3 linked regions of the Oryzias latipes genome follow. The protein of the gene in region 1 purifies or fractionates together with the protein of each later gene. This does not show direct contact. Links are inferred from orthologs where the notes say so. Each region holds a gene or a part of one and is shown in the gene's direction. Other genes may lie near its edges.

Evidence for each region.
Region 2: the proteins of tfdp1 (region 1) and e2f3 purify together in Homo sapiens (affinity purification with mass spectrometry; 3 studies listed by BioGRID and IntAct, with this or other methods). This does not show direct contact. The link is inferred for Oryzias latipes from reciprocal best matches to the Homo sapiens genes TFDP1 and E2F3.
Region 3: the proteins of tfdp1 (region 1) and e2f2 purify together in Homo sapiens (affinity purification with mass spectrometry; 3 studies listed by BioGRID and IntAct, with this or other methods). This does not show direct contact. The link is inferred for Oryzias latipes from reciprocal best matches to the Homo sapiens genes TFDP1 and E2F2.

The regions. Positions count from the first base shown.
Region 1 is NC_019879.2:10,679,511-10,683,010, reverse strand, and holds part of tfdp1 (transcription factor Dp-1), read left to right. Parts: intron 1-1,778; coding exon 1,779-1,900; intron 1,901-2,038; coding exon 2,039-2,204; intron 2,205-2,287; coding exon 2,288-2,434; intron 2,435-2,522; coding exon 2,523-2,591; intron 2,592-2,875; coding exon 2,876-3,027; intron 3,028-3,500. UniProt on the Homo sapiens protein: Can stimulate E2F-dependent transcription.
Region 2 is NC_019874.2:11,042,082-11,046,094, forward strand, and holds the start of e2f3 (transcription factor E2F3), read left to right. Parts: upstream 1-1,213; 5' UTR 1,214-1,553; coding exon 1,554-1,835; intron 1,836-1,873; exon of another isoform or gene 1,874-2,148; coding exon of another isoform or gene 2,149-2,160; intron 2,161-3,886; coding exon 3,887-4,007; intron 4,008-4,013.
Region 3 is NC_019880.2:9,280,218-9,284,448, forward strand, and holds the start of e2f2 (transcription factor E2F2), read left to right. Parts: upstream 1-1,431; 5' UTR 1,432-1,919; coding exon 1,920-2,192; intron 2,193-4,231. UniProt on the Homo sapiens protein: Transcription activator that binds DNA cooperatively with DP proteins through the E2 recognition site, 5'-TTTC[CG]CGC-3' found in the promoter region of a number of genes whose products are involved in cell cycle regulation or in DNA replication.

The DNA.
Region 1 (3,500 bases):
CAGTCCGAGTTTAAACACAGTTCGGACTGGATGAGCTGTGAAATTCATTTTTAAGTGTTTATTACAATAAAAACAATTATTGTCCAATAGATGACATCCTAAGCTAGCCTTTACACTTTGGTTTAGTTTTAGAGGACATTAGAAAGTCTTGAGTTTGTGGGTCTAAAGTTCATTCTGGATGCAAACGAAACATTTCCAGCTGCTCAATCTCAATTTAAATATTCCTAAACTTCCAAAAATAGATGTTTGACATTTTCTTAACACAATTTATTTCCGTATTTAAGATTATTTTCACACCAAAATAATTTCAGATCACATTTGTTAAAATTTCCTGTGAGACTCGTGATGGTACTAAAATATTTTACTTGTTCAGCTGGTAAAATCAGACTCAAAGGTGTCTTGGACTTTTCTGAAACCTTTGCCCTTTTGGTTAACCCTTGTGCTATCTTAGATGACCCCACCCTTACATTGATGTGTTATTCCTACCATAAAAAAGGTGGATAAAGATGGAAAGATTTCATGTAATCCATGGACACCAGTGAAGATCACAAATCATTGAAGAAAAAAGGTTCAGAGCACTGTGTAGTGGGTCTAGATGACCCAACTCCCAACGTTAAAGTGCCTAGGAGATAGCACAATGGTTAAGTAAAAAAGCAAGATGAGTTAGCGATTTTTAAAATGAAAAAGCAGCAGATTGAAGAAAAAAAGTGAAGTGTCAGACCAAGACAAACCATCTAAACGTTAATGTGAGTTGTTAGGAAACTACAGTTGAATTTCAGCCAAAATGTTACAAACTCTCCTTTGCAACATTACTGTAGCACACATAAAATGCTTAATTCATTACATTTCTAACTATTTGAACTGTAAACTAAGTTTGATTATCTGTTCCATCCCAGATGAGTTAGTGACTGTTCCTTCCAGCACATGTAAGCTGTTGCATAACAGTCCTGCTATGAATATAACATCTAGAGTATTTAGCTCTATGCAGCCTGTTCCAATAAGGACAAAGCTTAACATCAGGCGCCCTTTCAGGGTTCTCTAGCTCTTATTATTAAAGCAAATTTTTAGTATTTAATAAAAAAAAGAAGATTAAGATTTCACCATTTTGCATCAATTCAGAGATGAGCTCATGTTAAAGTCAAACTCTGATCGTTACTTGATCTATTGTAAAAACTTCGCCAGTGGCCTTTTCATTATGATTATGCCGTTTTTTTTGACACATCACAATACCTGTGTCGTTTTCTAGGACAGTTTCTGCATAACGGCATTTGTTCATTAGAAATTCAACTCCACCCCCACTTCCCATCACCCATCTGTTTAAATGCCCTGCTGCTAGCTTACTGCGCCTCACAACCTCATTTTGAAATAGTCAGTGCAACAAAAATGGTGAGCAAAACTGGAGCTGTCCAGTCGTACAGTTTAGATCCAGATTCCAGCTCAGACGAGGAAAACAAAGACGGTCATGGATCCGTTGGTCTACAAGTGGATGCATCAGAATGGAGCAGAGCAGAAAGCTTGTGGCCCACCTGTTGTATTGTCTATGACACAAATTAGCTCTTTTTCTAACACCTGATTTACAATGACTTGATTAGAAAAATACTCAGAAATGCAATTATGAGATCAATTTTCTTTTTTGTATGTCCTCCATCAGAAAAATGCCACAAGAACATGCTAGAAAAAATCAACAACACCATATTCATTAGAGTGGGGCTTTAATTTAAAGTCCTCACAAGGTCACGTTGAGTCTTTAATGTTCCGTCATCTTCTTGTTTTCATAGGTGATTGGAACGCCCCAGAGACCATCAGTATCAAACACGATCTTGGTGAACAGTCCACACACACCCAGCTCCCAGTTCCTCACTCAGACTCAAACAGCAGATGCCTCTCCTTGGTCATCAGGGTAAGTCCTCAAATGCCTTTAGCTTAGCCAGTCATTCCTGATAAAATAATGCATTCCAAATGTATCTTAAAGTAATGTGATTACTTTGAAAGTTGTTTGCTGTAAATGTTGAAGCGTGCTTTGATGCTTCCTTTGCAGAAAGCGTGGTAAGAAAGGAGAGAAAAACGGAAAAGGCTTGAGGCATTTCTCCATGAAAGTGTGTGAGAAAGTGCAGAAGAAAGGAGTAACTACCTACAATGAAGTGGCAGATGAACTAGTTGCTGAGTTCAGCTCCGCAGACAACCACATGTCACCCAATGACTCGGTAAAGGCTGAGGCGGTGCAAACCCGCAACAACAAAAAAACACTTTCATTTAAATGATCTTTTAAATCCTTTTTTTTTCCTAGCATGTATACGACCAAAAGAATATTCGGCGGCGTGTTTATGATGCACTGAACGTGCTCATGGCCATGAACATCATCTCAAAAGAGAAAAAGGAAATCAAGTGGATTGGTTTGCCCACCAACTCAGCGCAAGAGTGTCAAAATTTAGAGGTGAGGACGATTGTGAGGGTTGGTCTAAACATGTGTGCCAATTCTGGCTTTTTTCCTCTGATGCAACTCTCGGTCGCTACTTTTGTAGGTGGAGAGACAAAGGCGGTTGGAGAGGATTAAGCAGAAACAGTCACAGCTTCAGGAGCTTATTCTGCAGGTAGAGGTCGATGACCTGTATGTCTGTGTTTGTCTGATTTCTGCATATATGTCCTCTGCAGCTCTTATGCTAGAGAGGCTGAGAGGTCTGTGGAGCTCAAGAACGCCAAAGCCATGAAATTCAAAAGCCTTTTGCCTTTCTAGCTTTTAGAACTTCACAGCTTAAAGAATATTTTTATTAGTTATGTTTTATTTATTCCCTTTACATAAAAGCTGTCTAAAGTCAAAATGCAATCTTCCTCTTTTGTGCCGCTTCTAACTTAATAAGTTTTGTTGTTTTTGCAGCAAATAGCTTTTAAGAACCTTGTTCAGAGGAACAGACAGTCGGAGCAGCAAGCAAACAGACCCCCACCCCCTAATTCAATCATCCACCTTCCTTTTATCATCGTCAACACCAGCAAGAAGACGGTCATTGACTGCAGCATCTCCAATGACAAGTATGTGGTTATCTGGTCTGTTTATGAGCAATGGAAACAAGTCATAAAAATCTATTTCTCTTAAACATTTGAAAGTGAAGTTTAAAATAAACATCAATCCCAGAACCTGTTAGAAATGGCAACGATTTCTTTCTAAAATCTGTCTGTGCTTTTGATATTAGTGTTGCCACTTGGCTTGAAATGAAATGTTATGTTTGCATTAGAGAAATGTTTAAGTTTAGGTTAACAGAACATAAGGTAAAAGTCTGGGACTGAAAGGTTAAAGCTTATTAATTCCATCCATTGACAGATGGATTAATTCCATTCACAGGGACAGATGTCACCCTTATGGCGCCAACAAAATTAAGTCAATTCAGTCACCATTTTGTCGTGATGGAGACGGCACCATTTTGGAGCCAAACTAGAGCGGTGACGGTATGGGATTTTTGATCACCGCGACGATGAAGCAGCAGGGCGACTCCTGCTGCTCAAAG
Region 2 (4,013 bases), on another chromosome or scaffold:
AGGTTCAGAAAAATATAATAAGGGTGGGATTATATCGGGTTGCCTCGCTCCTTTTCTGTAAGGATTCTGTGGTTTTGTTTGGTTTTTGTGACTTTTGGTCAGGTTCTGAGATGCCCTCAGTCACACCAGTTCCTCGTCCATCATGATCCATAGATGTCGTGATTTTAGTTAATTGCCCTCAGCCTATTTAAGTGCATGGTTACAAGTTCTGCCTTGTCAGGTCACCTTTTTGTTGCGCCGTGGGTTTTGTCAATTTTCAGTTTGTTTATTAAATGTTTTATTTTCTGTCACCAAGCCTGGTCTCTTGCATTTTGGGTCCTCCATCACCAGTTCCTGACACTTTCAAACAATTAAATTCGTTTGGACAATTTTAATATTTAATGGTTTCAATGTGTGATGTACTGTAGGTCTAAGAGCATTTAGGACTGTTTAGGATTCATTGTAAATATAACTGCATTATTTACAGGTGTATGTGGATGTATGTGTGTCTATTTTTCAATCATTTCATGACAAATTATCCAGTTTGATATTGGCTTATCTTTGTATTATGTAGTTATATATTTCTGTTGATTGTCGTCTTTAGGTTTATTTTTGTTTTGATTTTTGTTATACACCATTTCCATATCCAAATGACATCAACCAAAAGCTGGTGTCACAGTGGTTTTTAATGTTGTACATAATTGTGATTGTTGTTTTTTTCTTTCTACATGAGAAGAAGCAGTTTATAGCATTTTTTAGGGTGTCTCTTTGTGATTTTACTATGGACATAGTAAAAAATGTTTCAAATATTGCACCATTGAATTGAATATATTGAAATGTAAGATTGAAAATGCATGCAGTTTTATTCACTCTTAAATAAAGGTTAAACTTATTACCCAACTTTTAATCACTTCTAACTTTAAGCGCCAAAATACACATAAATATCTTTGTCGTTTAATAACAAAGAATTAAAATGATTTTTATGGTTATTAACAAATCTATTACCTGCTTTCTTTACATTGGCATTCATATTTTTGAATTGTTTCGTTCCGTTTCGAACAGCCTTACTGTTTGGAGGAAAATGTGTTGCTGGCGCCACCTGGCGTTTACATCTGCAGCATGCAAGGCGTGACAAGTGACGCCACATGTTTACAACTGCCAATGAGCACGTGGCGAGACGAACTCTGTCCTCCAATTGGCCGGTTCGGTCGGGATGTGGGCGGGAACTCCTGAGCTAAGGCTCAATGGCGACGGACATGTAAATTTAGTTTGAAAATTCCCCGGGAAATCTGAGTTTCGCGGGAGGGCTCTTGAGCGCGTAAACCGTATCCCTTCATTCATCAGGCCGTTTCCTGAAGCCATTTCTAGTCGGTGGAAACGAGAGTTGCGCTACTTTTAAATCCGATGCATCTGCCTAAATGCACCTTCTTAAGGAAAATTTACTTTTAAAAGTCGATCATTCAGACGTTTATCTACACTTTGGGCTGATTATTTTTGAAATCATTGCGACGGATTAGCGGCCGCACGGGCTTAAAAGTTGAGAGACAAGAGAGGGGTTACCCTGAATACGCAAGATGAGAAGAGGGATCTCCTCGGCTCCGGACAAAGTGATTTTAGCAGAGGTCGGGGGTTCTCCTCTGGACAGTAATATAATTTTAACAGCTCTCGCGGATCGTTTGAACCCCGGTCAATCTAACGCTACGTATATCCAAATAATAACCACACCACCGCCTTGCAATATTACACAGACATCAAATGTGTGTTTATCCGAGGCTCAGGTCAACAACATTTACACAACTCCACAACAAGCGGCGGCGAACGGAGCAGGACAACGACCCGCTCTGGGGAGACCACCGGTAATAACACTCAACATTTTTCACGAACCCAACATAAGTACGACAAATGTTAGCTCGCTAGCTAGCCGAGCTTGTTGTTAGACAGCTAACGTTAGCTGCTTAGCCAGGGCAATCCCACGACTAGCGATGTAGCTAACTAACTACCGCTAGCTTAAGTTACCCAAACAGGCTGATTTAGAGTCTTTTCGTCAACTTTCTGGGGGCAAAACGCCAGCTTTAGCTAGTTTTGCGTGTACAGAAATGCCCCCCTGCCTTCTAAGATAAGACTCGCTAACTTCACCCAGCTCAGGGTCCTCTTCACCTTTGCAGCCAGATGGAAGTACTGGTAAGAGATGAGTAACGGTAGCGCTGGCCTAGTAGCTGCTGTTGGTGTCTTTATGTGGGATTGGAGACCTTGGTTGTTGAGTTTTTCGGCCCTTTTCGTAGCTTTCTACCGACATAAGAGGAGGGGAACCTTCCTAAATTTGAGCTAATGCAGCTGCTTTGTTTCGAAACTACTCAATAGATTCCTCCAAGTGGGCAAACCAACTTATAGAAATATTAGCTTTCCAAGCTAGTAGCGCCATAAAATTAAATTTTTGTCAAAAATAACTCATTGCTTGCCTTTCCCCCCCTTTATTTTGTCGTCTGGTTTTGACGTCCTCTGTGACTTAAGTGACATTTTAGTTCCTTTCAAGTGAAGGAGAAGTGAAACCCGAGCTTGTTGCTTTGGAACTAACTGCACGTTTCATGTGTTCTTCTCTCTACATACATGCATGAACCGCAGATAAACGAGTTCAGAAAACATTTGGGTTTCTGTGTTCTCCACATTTCACGAACCCCCCCCCCCCAGCAGGCTGCACCTCAGACTGAAGCCACGAGCAGCCAGACAGACTCCTGCTGATTTTTTTAAAATGGCTGACACTTTGAAGGATAAATTATATGCCATTGCAAGTTTAGTGGAAGATGCATCTTCTCTGTCCTCTGAGGAGGAATCATCCCCTAGATTCATTTGTTTGAATCATATTAAAGACCCCAACACAGAAAACTGATGGTTTCTGGGTCCAACTCCATAGATTCTAGTTGGGTTTGTAGGTTCAGGAAACAGGAAAGCAGCAACTCTGCTCTTTATAGTCGCTCTATTATGGATGGTTACCATGAAGACAATAAAGTCTCACTTGATTTGATTTCTTTTTATTTGTAACTCATACAATACATTTTGTGCGTACTTGCAATTGTGTGTAAAATTGAATATTAAAAACTTACAAAAAGTAATTACAGTTTCTGCACACGCACCTGGAAACTACTGCAGCCTAATCTAATGAAATGGTACGGACCAATCGCCTGACACACACACACACACACACAAAACCACATTCACACACACATCAGATTTGAGACCCTGTTGACGTCTCCAGATTTGTGTGTAAATAATGCGTTTAAATGCTGCTAAAAACACGAGTTCATAGGAGTGGGGTCTTTAACAATGACTTAAGTGTGCCATTACAATGTTTTATAACATTTATTTTGGAGTTTTTGAATCGGGATATCCTGTATTTCTTTTTTTTTTCTTTATTTTATTTACGGTTCTTTTCCCTCGGAGACCATCATGACGGTGTCTTGTTTTAAAGCTGCTTGAACGCCAACTGGTCATGAAGTTTGAGGTGAAATGATGGCCGTCCCGCTCTGATTTTCAGACTTGTGCATTTTTGTGGTCTTTCACACAATCTGGATGCATAGATCATACATTTGTTTAGATTTTTTTAGAATATGGTTACACACATATCCCAAAGAACCTGCTGATGTTCAGAATGTCATATGTCCGTTCTGAGCCACAGCTGCCCACACGCTTTGGGGTAAATTTCCGTCCAGATGCTGCCTCTGCACCTCTGTTCATAGCAGTTGGTTTCAGGGGTGGGGGCGAGCCCCTCCCCTAACCTGATGTAAGTAATAGTACTAATGTTTTGGGAATCGTCTGACAATTCAGCTTCAAACTGAGCTGAGCAACCCTGGAGATGAAACTACCAGCATCTGTCAGAAAACCATATTTTCTTATAACCCTTTTCCTCCAGGCAAAGAGGCGGTTGGCTCTTGATGAATCAGACCACCAGTACCAGTTAGAACCAGCCAGAACGCCACGCAGCAGAGGGGGGGGCCCAGCGGCCAACGGGACGCGCATAAAGACACCCAGAAGTAAGG
Region 3 (4,231 bases), on another chromosome or scaffold:
TTTTATTAATCATATACATGACTTTTTTTTAAGTAACATAATTGCATATATTTTGGATAAATGATCTGCAATTGCCATGTTGATTTCTAAACGTTATTTTTTACATAATAATTTAAGTAATTAATCTTTGTCATGTGCTTAATTGATACCTCAGGATTCTTAATTCTGTCTGATAAAAGCTAGGAGCCGGATATTGATAAATCATGTAATAAAATGGTTACGGTAGATTAGGGGTGGGATTATATAAATTTGCTTCCTTCCACTCCCTTTCAAGCAATATTTATTATGCCTAATTATCATAAGTTTGGTTCGCCATTGTATGAATGTATAACTGGTGATTGTATTGTTTTTGTGTATGATTCCAATTTGATTGCTTGAAATAAACCATTAAAAAAATTGTACCAAATGACTAAACAACTCCAAAGTTTTACTGTAATAAAACCCAACTGACGCAAGTAGAAAACATGATGCCGGCTTAGTCCAGTTTAGAAGGCATGTTTTTTACCTACAACTTTTCAATGTTGCACATATAATTTTATTGGACAAATGAAAACACATCAACAATCCTCCATGATGACCAAGAACTAAGATTTCAAGTCACAACTTCAGTTTTAGGTCAACAACACTAGGCGTTTATCTGATTACCCGCGACTTTTTATAGGTTTTATTGGAAGAAATTCCACTCTTTAAAGACGTACCGTCCATGGGAGGCTTTAGGTCTCCTCGTTCTTGGCCAATAGGGGTCAAGTCATCTGGCTTGGGTTTGGTCGCCAAAGATGGGGGAGGGGGTGTTTTCTTTCAATATCTTTTGTGAGCCAATAAGCAAGAGTGGTGAATCCAATTATCATGTACAGACAATGCAGGGCTGCCCCTTGCTGTGTGCCACTTTCCTTATTTTAGGAAATACGTTTACAAATGTGTGCTCTATTGTCACCAGAAATATAAATTCTGAAGGAAATGGAGTTCTTTTAATAACTAAATGACACTTTTTACAACTATTTTGGGATCTATTTTAGTAAATATGTACAATTCAAAGTTAATATTTGTTTGAACTACAATTTCACATTTAGTTGCATTCCTTTTGTCGTACTAATAGTCATTTTAGTCCATTTTAATTTGGATTCATACTCCAAATTGTAAAAGTTTTGAGTAGTTTGACTTTAAATGTAGTATTTTTGCTTGTATTTGGTAAAGTTAAGTGCTTAAAATTAGTTTCTTAATATTGGTTTTTTTTGTTTCTGTAACAAACAGTTCAAGTGAGACAGCTTAAGGCGCGTGTGGAGAATTCGTGTACTGTCTCTTTAAGAAAACCAGGCCCTGCCCCGAACAACTGTTTTATGCAAATATGACAAGCCGAGCGTGCCACCAGCCAATCAGGGGCGCTCTACAACCGCGGGAGATCCGAATTTCGCGGGACGGAGTTTGGCGCTAAAAAGACTATTCAGCTGCAGCTCCTGTCGCGTTGAATGGAGAAGGGGCACCCCGAGGTGGACTGACGGCAGCCGCACACTGGGTCGGAATCCGCAGTCGGAAGGACTCACCAGAAGTTCTAGCGTTTGTCCCCGAGACGCATTTTCGAGTCGAACTTTAAAGTCCCGCATGTTTGAAGAAACTAATTTATATTCGGAATCGTTTTTGGATCTGGTAAGACAAGTTAAATACGACTTATAAAAAAACGAACTAAGAAGAGGAACGAATCTATCAACGATTATTATTAGGAAACAGCGTCATATTGCGGATTTAATTCGTGCATTTTATTTTGAAAATATTAATTTAGTATTTGCAATTCTTTCTTCTTTTGTCGACGTCTTCTTCGGGGATAATATTATTCTCTAAAGCCGGTGATCGTCGCGCTGGCCCTAACGGCGCGCTTCTCTCCCCGCTTGACCAATCCGGTAATTGAGGTTTTCCTCGGGAAAATGATGCGGGTGCCTAAAGGCGTCTCTCCGGCTTCGGTTCGGCCAGCAGTGGCGCTCGCCTCCCAGCAGAAAATGAAGGTTTTGTCGTCCGGAGGAGTGAAGAGCGACTTCTTCAGCACCGGACTGTCCAGCCCGCCCATGCACGCGGTACCGATCGGGTATTTCACCCAGATCGGTAACACGGCTGCGGCCGAACAAAGAGCCAACAGCCTGTATTCAACCCCCCACGGCCCCGAGGCTAAACCCATCAGATCATCCTCCGGGCGGCTGCCGGTAAGGAGCATTTCTGCAGCTCATTTTTCTCTTATGAACAAGGGATTTCTTGTGCCCATGTGGGAGGAATAATGCATGATTTCCATCGGCATGCGCAGTTTTGCAATTATGTTTTGACGCGATAAGCCACAGAGGGGCCTTTTTCCCCCATGTGTGTGCATCTCTCCACGCAGTCCAGCTGTATAGCTGGAGCAAGCCAGTGTGATTGTTTTTGATGTGGCAGATAAAGAGGAAGGGGCCCCCAGTTTGATCTTGTTTAGAGGTCCCTTGCGAAAAAATGTAGGATGAGTGGCCCCCTATACTGCAGTGAGTCAGGATGGCTTACAGACCAGAAGACAATACTGAGGGCATGGCTGTGCTGGTTGGAGGCATTATTTCCCTTACTCCTGCATTTGCAGACTACACCCAGAGACAGCTGCTCCATCTGCACCTGTCAGTTAACCAGTGCTGGACCTGTGTAACCTGTTCATGCAACTGCAGGAAGCAGGGTGTCATGAGTGAGCAACTGTTTGCTTTCCCCACAGAGCTTTTTGATTGAGGAAAAAAAAAAAAAAAAACTTCCATTCACTATGTTTCCTAAAGGATTATGCTGTTGATCTGCTGTGGATTCTGATCCACATGCATGCTGCCACTTCTATTAAAATCTCCCATCGTTCATTTAGTTGTTGGAGAGTGTGCAGGCTCTTCAAATCTCACGCTGACCCCTTGGCCCAGGAGCGTGGATCCACTAATAGGCCCTCCAAGAGGATTACTTGGACAGTTAGAAATAGGCTACCACCTGGCTTATCATATGTTGAGGTGATTTTACTGTTCAAGTTTGCGTTTTTACATCTCATAAAGGCATTCTTCTTCCTCATCCAGCATTAACACCAAGTTTATAGCTAAGTCTTAAAAAATACACCAGGATTTATAGGTTTTGTCTCCATAGATATTGTGTTTATTCTGTAAAACAATGATCATTTTTAACATTTTTCCATGTGTGCATGCTTATTTCAACAGTAATAGAAGAACTTTAGAGTAAAACGTTTTCGGAAACTCATATCGTTGGCTCTTTTTTTGTATAATTGGGAGATCTTAGATTCTAAGATGTTTATAAATGTGTATTATAATGAGTTATAAAAAATAAAGAAAAATCAATGCAACACAATTTCTGCAGAAATGACACATTTATAAACACACGATGCCTCTTCAATGAAGTGTCATCATAAATTTCACACCTTTACTGTCATTATATTGTAATTATCAAGTGAAGATGCGCAGATTTTCTCCATTGAGGGTTTATTTGCACTTGATCTGAGCCGCGGTGTTGTTTGAAGCGATCTCCTGGAAACTGGGTTTTGCCATCACAGCTGCTTGGGTGCAGGCCTTGTGTTTACAGGAACTGCTGCATATGCAGCACACTTCCTTTAACAACAAAATAACCACCACTCTTTTGCATTTCTGCCTCATAAACGGAACCCTAGCCCTGAGATCCCATAGACTCAACCTTTCAACACTCTGTAGACGACATGTACAAAAAAATAACATCCTTAAGTTGATTTTGAACAGCTTTTGTTGACTTTAGCTGCAGATGTCTCACATTTATGTACCAATCATGCTGTGTAGTAAACGTCAGTGCATCATTGACTTTTAACCAGGGTGTGGAGACAGTTCAGAGTGTTATGAAATAGAATTTCCTTTTGGGCTTGATGATGATGCAAAATGTGTTACAGTCTTCAGGCCATCACTCTAAAGGTCATGGCTGGTCTTTCACTTGGAGTTTTCAGATGCCCCGCATGCATCCATTTGTCTACTCAGGATACCCCTGACAAAAATACATCACAGTTTATCCACACAATTCCAAACCAGGAACTGTCATGTTCATGTAGTTTAGTCAAAATCTTAAAAAGAAATACAATAGATTAATTTTACACCATACATTTACAATACTGTTTAGTATTAAGGGATGCTTCAACCTAAATTCTACATTTTGATCTGCATGCAGAATCCTTGCTAATGTTTTTAGGAATGCTTCTCTTGCAGTTTGGTCATTAAAGACC